Rattus norvegicus: one gene and its partner. The protein of the gene in region 1 binds, or shares a complex with, the protein of each later gene. Links are inferred from orthologs where the notes say so. Each region holds a gene or a part of one and is shown in the gene's direction. Other genes may lie near its edges. The genes, in order: Cmc1 and Smim20.

Evidence for each region.
Region 2: Cmc1 (region 1) and Smim20 share a complex: the UniProt entries of both Homo sapiens proteins name them as parts of the MITRAC (mitochondrial translation regulation assembly intermediate of cytochrome c oxidase complex) complex. The link is inferred for Rattus norvegicus from reciprocal best matches to the Homo sapiens genes CMC1 and SMIM20.

What each region holds. Positions count from the first base shown.
Region 1 is NC_086026.1:126,732,486-126,736,815, reverse strand, and holds the start of Cmc1 (COX assembly mitochondrial protein homolog), read left to right. Parts: upstream 1-1,252; 5' UTR 1,253-1,412; coding exon 1,413-1,431; intron 1,432-1,442; exon of another isoform or gene 1,443-1,591; intron 1,592-4,330. UniProt on the Homo sapiens protein: Component of the MITRAC (mitochondrial translation regulation assembly intermediate of cytochrome c oxidase complex) complex, that regulates cytochrome c oxidase assembly.
Region 2 is NC_086032.1:61,932,460-61,936,785, reverse strand, and holds the start of Smim20 (small integral membrane protein 20), read left to right. Parts: upstream 1-1,253; 5' UTR 1,254-1,349; coding exon 1,350-1,464; intron 1,465-4,326.

The sequences.
Region 1 (4,330 bases):
ACCTTGGAAATGAAACCGAAGTCCAGAAATAAAACACTGGAACTTATTTTCACGCCGCAGGCGTGGCTACAGGATTCAAGAGAGCGTACACAGTTCTAACTGAAGCAGACCAAAAGCATCCCATTTATCAAGATATGTTTTGCCTATGTGGTTTGATTACTTGAGTGTTGGATGCCCGACTTCTGATTTTATAACTCATCTCATAGTCTCTAAATCTTCAGGTGTATTTGTTACACACAGCGAGTGGTCAGCTTGAGCATCTGCCTAATCCAACAACGGCAGCAACAAAACGTCGTTTTGGTCTTTCTAACTCATCCGCTTCCAGCAAAATAAAAAGGGGACCCATAGCAGCTTCTGTGTGTTTCTCAGCACATTTATAAAACATACAAGTAAAAGAACCGACTTCTGCCCGGCTGAGTGAAGGTTTAATTCTCCACCTTGGCACCTCAGCCTCTAGCTGTAATGAGAGCGTTATGTCCAAACAGGCCCTTAAACCGGAGCCCTGCTGAGCAGAGACGCACTTTCCCAGGCCTGTTCAACTGGGGTATCCTTTCTGCCAACTGACCAGGCAGACTCAGCAGCAGGGAAGAAGGGACTGCAGGTAGGTGGGAAGGGAATCATTTTGAAAGCCTTAAATCCCTCGTAGCGAAGAGGCAGCTGCTCCACGTTTTCCCAAACATCTGTCCCTGGCCCTACTCACCATTTGGAGGCTTGAGTTCATTAAATGGAGATCTGATAGACTCAGCCAGAACTGAAGGTCGGTCAGTGAGTGGAAACAGGCCTAAGGGCCGCCCTGAAAGTTACCTTCGGGCAACTGTTCCTTTCCCTTATGTCAGCAACAGATCACAGCTTTCAAGGAGAGTCAAGATCCATCACATCACCCAGACTGGACTGCCCAGGGTGTGTTCACAAAACACGTCTCCTGGACAGGACTCCTCCTGCAGGTGGCTTTCCTCCCGGGAACAACGCGTCAAGAATAAGGGCTTTATTTTTATTACTTTTCCTCTGGCACTCAAGACTGAGGCCGAAACCCGACAGGGACAGAAGGACATTCAGAACCTTTGAGATAAGAGGCCCAAGTCTCAAATCCCACGTGCTAAGTCAGGCAGCACACATTGAGGCAGCCTCTTGAAGGCGCATGCGTGGCCACGCCCCCTCCTGGGCATTCCGCGAGAAACCCGCCCACTCTACCGCAGGATTCCCGTAGAGGGCAGTCGGGCGCAGGCGTAGAACAAACCGAGGGTAGGAACAGGGGAAGGGGGTGTGGTCTGTTCTCACAGCGGAGGTCGCGCACCCGCTCTCCTGCGGGAAGCTGCGGGCGGGCGAGCGGCTGCGCGCGCAGTCCAGCTTAGGCTCCTCCCCGTCCCGGCTCCAGAGCCGGCGAGTGGCTTGCTGCTTCTCCGCCCTCCGAGATGGCGCTGGACCCCGCAGGTACTGGGGTCGGCGTGGTTGTGAGGGCCTAGGCGCCAGGGGTCAGGTGCTCCAAGGATGCGTGGCTTCCGCAGTTAGCACCTCATTCAGCCCGGCGGCTGGGTTTCCACTCTCGGTGACAGGCCGTCCATCTGCTGCTCGCTGGGGCTCTAGTTGCTCGGTGAGGGGCGTTGGATTCCTTGTGTCAACTTTCACTATCTCTTCAGTCTCTTCACCGCCTAGTTTTTGTTTTTGCTTTTTTTTCTTTCCTCCTTTGGGGCACAGGCTCCTTTTAAACAGTATCGGGTGTAGACAAAGTTGTCCCAGAAAACTGAAGTTTCACTCTGGTGCACAGTTTGACATTCTGTTTCCGGTAATTTTATGCCTTCTCCCAAGTTCATCCTGGTAGGTCAGTGTAACAAACGCTCCACGACTGACTGGCTAGAGGCATTTTCTTGGAAAGGCTCTCCAATACATCTTCCGTGTCGTTTTAATTTGCATGATTCCCATCACTTACGTTTGCAGTCGAGTTCAGGTCCTCAGGAAGTTTTTCAGAAAGCGCCCTCCCAGTATTTTACTTGATTTAAGTAACGGTGAAAAGGCAGAGACAGAAAGGTAATGAGTCTAGTCTTAATGGATAGGAAAACTCCAGGTATTGATAGGTTAGAGACTTTCAAACCTTTGAAGAATCTGAAGCGAAAGGTCACATGTAGCCCTCACATAGGATGGAAACTAGGTATAGCATTCGAATAACTTGTCATTTTATTATCAAGCCAATGTATTCAGTTGTCCCAGAATAGTACTTGCCTGGTTGGTTCTTTTATCTCCATTTTCAGAGTAGGAAGCAGGCTCAGAAAGGTTAAGCCGCTGCTTTTAGTCACCCCTCCTAGTTCTTTCCTAGCTGGCGCCTTTGTCCGTCAGCTTTGAATTAAAATGTCAGTTCCTTATAGAACTTAGCACCGTCTAAAGCAACCTTGGTTCATCTACTGCAGCACCCTGCTTACTTCGCACCTCACGTAATTGACCAGAGTCTGTAAGTGTATTAGTATAATCTGAAGCATAAAGCAGTTGCGGAACACCGCTCGGATCTTATCAATTTGAAGCAAAATATTTGGACTGAAGTTTGAAGCGGCATCGTTGAGCAGTGATCATGTGGTAAGACACAGAGTCTTACTTGATTTGAGGGTGACAAGTTTGATTGGAAGGTAGGAGGCAGTAATGAAGCATGGGTAAGGGAAGTTCAGGTAAAGTGCATATAATTTTGGTATTTCATGACCTTGAAAATGATACTCATACAGATAGGGATAGGGACACTCAGGTTAAAGCAGTGGTTCTCAGCCTTCCCAATGCAGAGACCCTTTAACAGTTCCTCATGTTGTGGTGACCCCCCCAACCATAGAATTATTTTCATTGCTACCTCACTTCATGACTATAATTTTGCTACTGTGAGGAATCGTGATGTAAATTTTTTTGGAGATAGAAGTTTGCCAAAAGGATGGTGATGCACAGGTTGGGAACCACTGAGCTAAAGGCCTGGATGGATCTTTATTTAGACAGATGAGAAAGTGTAAGAAACAAACAGTTCATACTTGCTCCTACGGGTTTCTAGTTCTCTTAACCCCGTCTGAATGTGCAGTGTGCTCAAGGCGTCATAGCTATTGTCTGATAAGACCAAGTTTTGTTACGAACCACTTGGTTCCTTTCTCAACCCAGACTGTCAACCATGCCTTTATTTTAGTACCTTTTGGTAAACTTGTTGGTGGCTCAGTGTTCTTGGTGTATATTGTTCTGTAACCTAGGAAACAGTAACATATAGGACAAACAAGGACCCCCACCTAAAGTAGCCTCTCCCTGTTTGTTCACAGACACTAAAAGACATGAAGTAGATTGTGAGGAGAGAGCTACTTTTGTTAAGAGCTTTTATGGAGAAACACCATTTGCTTTAAAATATCAAGAGAAGAAGCTACCATGAAAAGAGCTGGGAGCTGGGGCCATGGTGGGCATTCAATGTGGCAAATGCTTGAAAAAATATTGAACTGACAGGGCAGAGTGGCGAGAAGAACCATAAGGAAGAAGGTTGTCAAAGTGGGCTTGAGGTGAACACCTCGTTGGTTTAGGGACTTGAATTCTACTATAAAGCATCTTAATTCTTTTTTTTTTAAAGATTTATTTATTTATTATATATAAGTACACTGTAGCTGTCTTCAGACACATCAGAAGAAGGCATTAGATCCCATTACAGATGGTTGTGAGCCACCATGTGGTTGCTGGGAATTGAACTCAGGACCTCTGGAAGAGCAGTCAGTGCTCTCAACCACTGAGCTATCTCTCCAGCTCTAGCGTTTTAATTCTGTTTCCTTTCAGTTTTTCTCAAAGTCTGGACCCAAGAGTGAGATGTAGGCAGCATCTGTATTCTCATGTGACTTTTCTTTAAACTTTCCCTTTTACAGAGTTGATAACACACTCCCTGAAGGTTTATCTTTTTATTATTGTTATTATTATTATTATTATTATTATTATTATTATTATTATTATTACAGTTATACTTATTGTTTTCAACTGTGATAAGTGGAAGAGACTAGAGAAAGGACAAAGTACTAAGCAAAGTGGTAGTGAGAGGGATTGGATTTGTACTGGTGCCTGCCTGAGCTGCACTGCGCTCTTAGATCCTCTGACACTGAAGTACTTGTTAGACGGCTCAGACATATTGCTCTGTCTGTACGATCCCAGTTCTGCTGACTCATCTATCACTAACCGTGTGTGTGTGTGTGTGTGTGTGTGTGTGTGTGTAGTCCCTGTTCTGATAGGAGATTCTTACCGCCTTCAGTCATAAGTAGGACCTTTGATCTCAATAATTTTGCAAGAGTTCATAGTGCAGCTCGTTCTCCTATACTAGGATATGTCTTATTTCAAGGCACGG
Region 2 (4,326 bases), on another chromosome or scaffold:
GGATTAGTTATCTTTTCATGTATTTGTTCCGTGGTCGGATCCTGGAGAGCAGAGGTCATGTCTTATTCATCTTGTGTCCCCCTTTGCACTTTGCCTGCTGTTCGGGGGGCATAGTGAGATAGTCTATAAATCTGTTGACAGATTGAACGACTGATTTATATGCTGCTAGAGCCAGAGGTAGATGGAATCTTGATTCGACTACAAAACTACAGAGAAAAAGACCTGTGTTCACCACATCATTTCTGAGAGATTGCTGATCTTCTCTGGACTAAATAATGTTGCTGAGGTCAAGATAAATACCTTCTGTGAAGCCCAGCCTCGCTACTGCTGTCATTTCTATTTCTAAGGGATTGAGTGAAGGCCAGAGGAATGTTGGTCTTAGCTGCCCAGCTCCCTGAGGAGATCATATCTTCTGACGAAGGCTCTGTAAAAGGGAACAGGTGCAGAGGTGGGGGAAAGCGATCGTGGGACGAGGGAGCAGGTGTCAGTCTTCAGAGGCTCCGCCCCAGGCAAAGAGCCAGAGCCCTAGGGACCTGCCACTGACTCTGTGATGTTCCCAGGCTTTAATAGATTTTGTTTGCAGCCCTCTGTTAGTTTTGGGAATTCCTGTCTACTTTCTGGAACCCCTCATAACCCAGCACACATAACATGGAGAGCAGAGAGGATGAGGGATCAAAATTAGATCACTTTGGGTGCTCAAATACCCTCCTTAAAAGGCTGCTCTGGTTCAGAAGACACAGTGACTAATTTTGCAAATGCCTTGCAATCCATTCGAACCAGGAGATTTGTTCCTTTGTGACTCGTGCCCACAAACAACTTTCAAAGAGGGAGACCCAGTGACTTGCTCAGCCTTTCAGATGCTTCTAGCCTGTCACCAATCACAAATGTCACAATGTTAATGAAGGGGAAGGGTGAAAAAGTGTTGTTGGTAATAGACGAGTAAAACAGGAGGTGGTAATTGGAGCAGAGAAGGAAGGACGCAGACCCGAGGCGAGTAAGAGGTCAAAAGGGGGCTCGAGAAAGGAGTGTAGCCAAATTTGTGACTGCACGGGCCACCCAGTGTCTCGCCCTCCACGCAGTCAGCCTGAGGCGAGGAGGCGGGGCTCGGTTTGAGTCTCCGCCCCATGCCTCGCCCTTCCTAGAAGACCCCGCCCTCAGATGATCCCGCCCCACTGCGAGGAGTCTTTCAGCCCAGGCCCCGCCTCCGAGCCCAGAAACTCCGCCCTGCACCCAAATCCCGGAAGCGAGAGTTGCTCCGCCTCTTCCGAGCCGGGTCGCGACCTTGAGGCTGGGAGTCGGGTTTCGGAGCGTGCCGGGCCTTCGCCCGCCCTGCAGCCCCCTTTCTCACCATGGCCGCGGCCCGGAACCTGCGCACCGCGCTCATATTCGGAGGCTTCATCTCTATGGTCGGAGCCGCCTTCTACCCTATCTACTTCCGGCCCCTTCTGCGGCTGGAAGAATACCGTGAGTGACCTCTGACCCCGCGCAGTGGCTGCTCCCAGCGCTACCCCGAAGTCTTTAAGCCCCTACCCTAACTGTTCAAGGAGTACTGAGGAAGGAGGTGGACTTAGGAGTGAGGCTACCCAGGGTCCAGGCTCGCCCAGTGCAGCCCGGTGATCTCGGACAAGTGGCCCCACCTCCGACCTTCAATGTTAAGAGTCTAAATAATCAGTTGCAGGATCAGCCACAGAACTGGAGCATCTTAGGGGTCACAGAGGTGATGTGTATGAAAGCAGCCTGCACACAGCAGGTCAACACTAACACTAGTTCACACACAGTTACTATATACTGAATATTTAATGTGTCAGGTTAGTCATATATCGAATCATTGAATTTGCACAGCCTTCCCTTGAGGTAGGTACTACCCATTTTACAGATGGAGGTCACACAGCTAGTAAGTGGTGGGGGAAATGTTCCAACCCAGTCTTCTGCCTGCAGAGCCCTCCCCTCCATTCACCCAGGCTGAGATGGTACTTTAGTGGGAGCCTTGATCATCCTGAGTTGAAAGGTGTTTTTATGGTGCATCATTGCCGTCCCCTAAGATGTCTTGGAGCGGAAATATTTCAAAGCTAAACTGTTAACCTGGGTTTTGAGTTTTTCCTCAAATCGTTTTTTTAGATTCTGCTGGTTTCCTTCGTTTTAAGCTGGTTGCTCACATGACAATGGTGAATGCCGGGGGAGTCATTTTTTTCCTTAATCATTCAGGTCCTATCATTCTAAAAGCCAAACTCTCCTTCCTGGAGACCTATACCTCAGCAAGGATTAGCACTTTGATACATCTGAAGCCATCTGTCAGAGAGGAGAGATGAGGCATTAGAGGATCATTTTGTTCTCCAGGAACCTGAACCATCTTGAAGATGAAGAGGGCCAGCCCAGCCCCCTGGGGAATATTAGCCGGAGCTGAAGCTTGGCGGTTTGACGCTTCATGTAAATGCTCTGACCATCTCTAGTGCTGTAGCACTTGGGTTCCAGAGGCAAAGCAGTTTCAAGTACACACACGAATCCCCTGGCAGCAGCTTTTTACCAGCTCAGACTGAGACGGTCTCTGTGCTTCCTGCCTACAAGTCCTTCTGCATACCCCGTGTGTGGAAGGAACATGGGCTGTGTAGGGTCCTGCAGAATTCGTCTCCATCCTTTTCCCTTGCTGGGTCCATGCCCCGGGCTATTTTATTACAGCTTCTAGAGTTGGACTCGAGACAGAAAGATCTGCTGTGGGTTCCCTTCGAAAACTCCCAGTTCTGAAAACGGGTATGGTTCTTAGCCAGTGTGCTATCTATCTGGAGTTGGTTTTGCTTGTCACAGCTAAGGGACAGAAGGGGAGGTGAGTAGGTTATTAGTATCTACTAGATAGGATCCAGGATAAATTTTCCATGATGCACAGAAGTCACCTGTGAGGAAGCATCAAAGGGTGAGGGCTGCCCAGCTCTTAATCAGTGAGTCAAGAGGAGACATGGCTTCCAGGAATACTCCCCAGTCTTTGGCTGACCAAGTTGCTTTAGACGGGCAGGTCAGGCTCCAAGGCTGTCCATACCCGCTTACCTTTTAGCTTATTAAAATAATTCAGCCAACTTTAACCAAAAGTTGTAACTAAATCTTTCAAGAAAGTCATACTAAACAGCTAATTTTTATCTGAAGTTAATTTTTAACACCCTTCCAAGCACTTCAACTCTACCAAGCCATTTAGTGCTCATAATAACCCTTTGTGGTAGCTGTTAGCTGAATGACATATAGACAGGGTATTTCCTCACTCTGAACCTTGCCCCCCCCCCCAGCCCCCTAGGCTGTGGTGATGGTGTTTACTGAACTGAATTTACAGGCTTAGGGTGAATTAAGTAGAGCATTACTTGTAGAAGTCTCTAGTATAGTCTCATATGAGGAATTGTACAAAAAGCACTTTTAAAAGAGGGCTTTGGTGAGGGACGAGCTATAAGCAGTTGTGTGCCTAAGGCCAGCGACCCAGCCCTAAGCATGTCCAGCTGGCTCAACGTATGCTCAGGAACTGGGAGCCTGCTGTGCAGGTGAGCTTCTCAGCCCATTTCAATCCTCAGTATTTATAGTATTTCACTGCTTTCCTTTCATATACTCAGCCTGGATTTTAGCTGTCACTTGGGTCTGGTACAGTTTAGATGTGGGGCAGAGCTGGGCTGACCCCAGTCTCTTCCCCTGCCACCCTTCTCACTCCGTCCTGGCCATGTGCATCTTGTGTAGTGTTTTAGCCCAAGCATTCTCTGCCCCTTTACTCACTAACATCACTGTTTTATCTTTACTCACCAACTCTTCGTCTTTCCCATGCGCCCCTCGTGCTTTTCTTGTGTGCATTATTATTTTCTTTTTCTTAAAGCTGAAAAGAAATGTGTGCTGTTGAGAGGGTGGATGTATGGCAGCTTATGTGTGTCAATTTCGGAGGACAACTCTGGAGTCATTTCTCCCCTGTTTTAACATAGGCTGTGGGGGTTGGATTTAGGTCATTGGGCTTGCATGGTAAGTGCTTTACCGGCTGAGCTGTCTTGCTGGCCCCGGTTGAGGTCTTTCTGAAATACACCTGGTACTAGTTCTTTGGTGAGAATTTGTAATAGGAACCTGTTTTGGTTTGTTAGGAAATGTGGAGCCCTCTGGGTCGTTGGCACTGGTTCTGCCATTTGTCCTTCAAGGGCAGTCATCTGGCTTGCTTAATTAAAACCCTGCAGTTACCCACTGCTATCCTCAGAGTCCAGCCAGTGGAGGTTATTGAAGTATTTTAACAAGGTGACTAGATTCACTGTGGGCCAGCTTCAGTACCACTGTGGGGAAGAGGGACCTGAGGGGGAAGAAAGAGGCAGAAAGATT